Linked DNA regions of Tribolium castaneum. The protein of the gene in region 1 interacts with the protein of each later gene in a pairwise test. Links are inferred from orthologs where the notes say so. Each region holds a gene or a part of one and is shown in the gene's direction. Other genes may lie near its edges.

Region 1 (3,255 bases):
AGCATGCCGCAGCCACCGTATGGAGGCCCGCCTCCGGATCACCGCAACGATATGCCCCCAATAAGCGAACAAGAGTTTGAGGATATTATGTCAAGAAATCGGACGGTTTCGTCGTCGGCTATCGCTCGAGCGGTTTCGGATGCTGCCGCCGGCGAATACGCTAGCGCAATAGAGACATTGGTCACGGCTATATCTCTCATCAAACAATCGAAAGTCGCGAATGATGACAGGTGTAAGATTTTGATTAGCTCGTTACAGGATACTCTACGAGGTGTGGAGGATAAGAGTTACAGTTCGGGAAGAAGAGATCGGTCAAGATCGAGAGATAGAGCACACAGGAGAGGTCGTAGGGAACGATCGTCTTCAAGATATCGCGAAAGAAGCCGTGAAAGAGACAGAGATCGTGACAGGGACCGCGATAGAGATAGATACTATGCGGATAGTTACAGGGAGCGGGAGCGGGATAGATCCCGGAGTAGAGGAGACCGGGAACGGGAACGCGAATACAGAGACAGAGAAGCAGATGATGCGTAAGTGGTATTTTGCAACGACGTTGAGTAAATTATTAGTTTGGATTTTTTATAGGTCCCGTGTGTCCCGGTCCAGGAACAAGTCGCCTCCTGACGCAGTGGATCCCTCAGGAGAGCCGACATCGAAATCTCGTTATTACGAAGATAGATATCGTGAAAGGGAGGGACGTCGTGAAAGTGAACGGGAACGTGAAAGAGATCGTCGAGACGAATCTCATCGTTCTCGGCATTAACAATTTTTTAGGCCGCATTCGTAATATGTTGTACCATACATGTCATGCATGTAATGAAAAAAATATACTTATATAGTGTTAGGTCAAACTAGTACACATCTCTGAATTTCATTATGTAATCGAAATGTTTATTTTGTTTGTAATATCTAAACCTATTCTACAGAAGAAGAGTGAAGAAGACGCTTAATCTGAAGAAGATTGTATGTTTTAGATAAAAAATATGGTTTAGACTGAGAATGGATTTTTATTTTTCTCTTATTTGATTGATTAACCTACTTGATCCGTTATGTAATTTGTACTGTATCACCCCTTCACTTGTTTTTATTTATTTATTATTTAAACCTCTTGTAACATTTCTTGTTGTACACTTATCTAATTTATTTTGTTTTTTAGTTTGATGTATTTTAAAACGAAAAGGCTGTGAATAACTCATGTCAATTTACTAATTTACCATTCAAACCGACTGTTTGGCTTGAATGGTAAAGGAACGATCTTTCCAATCACTTCATGCGAATAGCTTTAAGGGTTGTGAATGTTGCCAAAATGTTTTTGTATTTTTATAAGTGATAGGTTTAGATAAATCAGCTTCGCATCTCATTACTCCGGAAGTTGATTTATTCAATTCCTGACCGCACTTTGAAAAAATTATTTTAATTTATATTTTTTATAATTTTGTAATTCCGCACCAAAATTGCCCGATTTTATTTCTCATTTGATTTGTAAAAACTAGTTAGGCTGATAACCGACCGTGGAAAAAATTCTCAACTCGAACCAAAGTACAAATGTAGTGTAATTTCTTTATACAATATAAATAATTTAACCATTCATGGTGTTGTTTCCCGAAACGCGGTCGTTACGGTCCTGTTCTTTGATAATTCCGCGAGTCATTTCAGAGGGCGCTCATTATTTGACAACCGTCAAAAGTGACATTTGTTGACTTGTCGAAACGCAAACTGCAAATCACGCCGAAATTTTCAAACTTTAATAAAAACAATGAGTTCAATAGGCACAGGCGTGAGTATTTACCAATTTAATATCAATTAAGACTGACTAGCAAGTTTTAGTATGATTTATCGGCGTCTCAATTTTCCCCCGATGGTCGAGTTTTCCAAGTGGAGTATGCGATGAAAGCCGTGGAAAATAGCGGCACCGTTATCGGTCTGAGAGGCAAAGATGGGGTTGTCTTAGCCGCCGAAAAACTAGTTATGTCGAAATTGCATGAGCCGGGCACCAACAAACGAATTTTCAACGTCGATAGACACGTTGGAATGGTACTTAGAGCCCCCCTTAAAACTCAAATATTTGACTAAAAACGCCTGTTTTAGGCGTTTTCGGGGCTTATTGCCGACGCCAGACAAATCGTGGACATTGCACGCCGCGAAGCTGCCAACTACAGGTCCCAGTATGGGGTCAGTATCCCCCTTAATTACCTCAACGATAGGGTCAGCATGTACATGCATGCCTACACTTTGTACAGTGCAGTCCGGCCCTATGGTTGCAGCGTGATTCTGGCGAGTTGTGGCGAAGAGGGCCCCACTATGTACACAATAGACCCCTCAGGAGTCAGTTATGTAAGTGTGCCCCCTCAAAAATTATTTTTTTTTGTAAATTTGTGATATAGGGCTACCATGGTTGTGCTATAGGCAAGGCGAAACAGTCAGCAAAAACCGAAATTGAAAAATTGAAATTGTCCGGAATGACTTGCAGAGAGCTGGTCAAAGAGGCGGCAAAAATGTAAATTTGACCGTTTGTGCGAGGAGTTATTTCATGGTTTGTTTCAGAATTTACTTAGTTCATGATGAGCTCAAAGATAAGAATTTTGAGTTGGAGTTGTCGTGGATGTGTGAAGAGAGTGGTGGAAGACATGAAAAAGTGCCTGAGCATGTATTTCTTGAGGCGGAAAAGGCCGCGAAACAAGCAATGGAGGCCGATTCAGATTCAGATACTGAGGATATGTAATTTTATTTTAAGTAATAAATTTCTAAAAAATGACATCTTCCTCTTTTTATTGTCAAAATGATCAAAAGGCGCATTTTCTGTCGCCTGAGGCGGAAGAACCCGTTGGGAGTCTCATACAGATTCCTCAGAAAGTGGCTATCAGAGGTACGAAAGTGCAAGTAATGACTGTTTTGAGGTTAGATACCAATTGTTGGCGACCTTATCAAATCGTTAGAAAATGAGTAGCTGTAAAGATAAACTAGTGAAGGACATGATAGTGCAACTTCTGCCGATTTAATTGCATTTATTTAGTCAATTTCTGCGAGTCAAAGTGCGCAGACACGTCCTTTTTGAGAATTCCATGCCAATCAATAATAAGGCAATTGTGTAAAATCTTCGCCGGCCTATATAATTTTATTTCTCCGATAAAAGCATCATTAAAACATGACCAACAACGAATTGCGTCGACGAAAGGTAAGAGCTCAAACCAAGATCAAACCTCCGTTCTATTAATAACTGATTTGGACTCGTGTCGTGCCGTAAAACCCAAACAT
Region 2 (2,977 bases), on another chromosome or scaffold:
ACTCGGTGTCGAAAAAACGTAATTTATTGCTTGTTTGGACTCCATCAACAAATTTTGTGCATGTTGTGTTAAAACTTCAGCATGCAATAAGAGAAATCTGCTGACTCAGCAAATGTTTAAAATTCTCGGGTTTTGAGGAGTTTCGCAACGAAACTGATCTTCACGGAAGCGGGTTTCGATCGAGATGGACGTTTAAAAATATTCAGTTTGGCAAGTGTTGGCCGTTGTGCAAGTTTGAATTTTTATTTCGGATTTTGAATGCTTGAAATAAATCGGTTGCGAAAGCGCTGTTACCACGGACCTCCTGTTGCAGAGCGGCACGGTCTGAAGGAGCCCCACCGTGTGGAGCAGCTCCAAATGAAGATAATCTCCTCGCTGAGGGATCATGTGACGTACAACGCGGAGGCGCAGAGGAAGGCGCACTACTTTAGCCGGCTATTGGGCAAACTGCCGGAGCTGAGGTCCTTGAGCGTGCAAGGACTGCAGAGGATCTTTTACCTGAAGCTGGAAGACTTGGTCCCGGCCCCTCCCCTCATCGAGAAGATGTTCGTAGCTAGCCTACCTTTCTAAATTGTTAGTTGATATTTTTCGAAACGTGATAAACTCTTCTATGTGATTTGTTAAATAGGTCGTACGTATTAGTCTTTCCCGAGGGCGAGGGAACTGCCCGAAAATCCGGTCACGGCCTAAAAAAGACGCTTTTTTGGGACGATGATGGTGGGGCTGGTGGACTTTCGGGCAGTTTCGCCAGATTTCGAATTATGTTGAGAACTTTTGGTGTTGCAGTTCTTGTGCACGATAGACACCTTTTCCACTTTGAGAAACACGTCACTGTAACCTACTATCGATGTTTTTTACGTTTTTTGTAAAAATTATTGTTGCTTACTCTCGTAGGCTTAGTTCAACCTATTGATGTTTGCTGTTTCTAGTGCTCGGGCACTCAGAACTCGATTCTGATGGTCACAATTTTTCTTTGTGACGAACTATATTTTGAATACGCGACCAAGAGAACGAACCTGAAGATAATACTCTAAGAGCAGAAACTTATGTTACAACTTTACGTGATAAAGATAGTTAGGGTTATAGTAATATATTGTAAGCTTTTATTATTTTTTCAATGTTACCACTACACAATCGTGTGGAACCACTAATATATGCGATATACCTAGTCAAGGCACTGTACATACTTAAAAAAATATTTTATTTACACAAAAAGAATTCTATATTTTAATAGTTATGTAATAAATTACCTGTCGGGAGTTACCTGCAACTATTTAATTTTTATATTCGCTTTATTTGTGTATTTTTATATGAAACTAAAGAATAGTCGAGAGCTTTCCCCTTGTAAATGTTGACCAAAATTGTAGAATTGATTCCTAGTTTGAGGGGGTTTTACTAATTTCGCGCTAGTTACCAGTCGACTTGAGAATTAAATGTGCCATTTCATATCTATAATTTCATATCAACAACTGCCTTGGATCGTAACGGATGGACTGAAAAGAGAGTTACCTGAAGGAATGGTCGATATTTGGGTGTTACCTGCACCTTTATTCTTTAAAAAACTTACACCGTCCGCTTATAATATTATAGTCTTAAAGAAAATATACAAGAGCTTTAGTTGATGTCCTTTTCGCACTAACGGCTTCGTTCAAGGAATTTAAGAAAATAATTTATTGTAAATAAGATGCTAATATAGAGATATAATTGCTATTTTTTTAGCATACGGTTCGGGCAAACGGGAACCTTGCAATATTCGTCATCTCTAGAATTTTGTACCTGCTTTATTTCTATCTGTTTTGTATATTTTGGAGAAAATATGTGTACTTAATCGACGATCGCTATGGATTATTTTCCAAAAAGAACTTTTTTACCATGTTATAGGCATTAATACTTTTTTTTGATAGGTTAACCACCTATCGTACTTAAAGCACAACTTGTTAACTACATTTTATAAATTTATTATTGACATGAAACTTGCCATTAAATGCCAGTTTTTACTTGCTGTATTGACTAGATTAGATTTTTTAAGTTTTAAATTATGTTAGATATAGTTACCAACAAATCCTATATTCTACAGCTCTGTAGATTATGTGTAATCGTATGTGTTAGTTTTTACCTGATTCTATCGAAAAGTAATGATATACTTAAGTGAACAATTACTACAGCAATTATTTCGCAGATTTAGATATATCATTATAATGTATTTAACCATTTACAGTTTACTTATTTATCATATCATTGCCTTTTACCTTTTTCTTTTTGTTAGGTATATGAAATATATTGTAACAATTTTATTTGATTTAATAAAAGTTATGAAGTAACATTCTTTTGTACTTTCCCACTCCTAGCAATTTTTCATGCAGTTAAACCACCAGAAGCTGCACATTAAACCGGCTTCCTCTAATTAATAACGACTACTTTATTTAATAGTTATTGACAGCAAATTACGAATAATTATGCTGTAAAAAGATTCATGAAATCTATAAATTACACCGAGTATTCACTCTGAAAAAATTAGCCATTATTTCAAAGCTTTATCTACATACACAGCCATAATTAGTAAACTAAAATACCTTATCTCAGCTATGCCATAAATTGAATTAAAAATCGCATTCTTTGTCAGAAAAAATTACAGCTTCATAGCTCTCCTTATACGTTTTCTCGAATGACGTCTGTCCTATTCAAAATTATACAATTAACTTGACGCTGAATCATAATTAATCACGAGAAAAAGCTATCAGTAAGTATTTCAGGATCTCATTAATTAGCATATGAAAGAGCTGAATGATAGACATAATTATAACAGCCGAATATCTTGAGGTGGGTACATACCAACGGGTTTTTATGCGACGATGTGTATTAAAAGATTCAGCTCAGAGAGGTATAGCGAACGCATTCTGAAGGCAATCAACTTCATTTGCCTAAGTATTTCCTGCATTTTGTAAACATCCCTCGTAATGAATTTCACACTTTTAAA

Evidence for each region.
Region 2: the proteins of Prosalpha7 (region 1) and Hr38 interact in a two-hybrid assay, tested with the Caenorhabditis elegans proteins (2 studies listed by BioGRID). The link is inferred for Tribolium castaneum from reciprocal best matches to the Caenorhabditis elegans genes pas-7 and nhr-6.

Annotation. Positions count from the first base shown.
Region 1 is NC_087402.1:4,014,613-4,017,867, forward strand, and holds Prosalpha7 (proteasome subunit alpha type-3), read left to right. Parts: upstream 1-1,617; 5' UTR 1,618-1,756; coding exon 1,757-1,777; intron 1,778-1,827; coding exon 1,828-2,034; intron 2,035-2,088; coding exon 2,089-2,334; intron 2,335-2,384; coding exon 2,385-2,497; intron 2,498-2,544; coding exon 2,545-2,722; 3' UTR 2,723-2,755; downstream 2,756-3,255. Other genes in the region: cleavage and polyadenylation specificity factor subunit 6, read left to right, coding at 1-530, 586-763; NTPase (ectonucleoside triphosphate diphosphohydrolase 5), read left to right, coding at 3,146-3,175.
Region 2 is NC_087398.1:2,570,224-2,573,200, forward strand, and holds the end of Hr38 (probable nuclear hormone receptor HR38), read left to right. Parts: intron 1-313; coding exon 314-570; 3' UTR 571-2,321; downstream 2,322-2,977. UniProt on the Caenorhabditis elegans protein: Transcriptional activator that induces gene expression by binding to the NGFI-B response element (NBRE) 5'-AAAGGTCA-3'. Required for proper morphogenesis of the spermatheca and the spermatheca-uterine valve formation.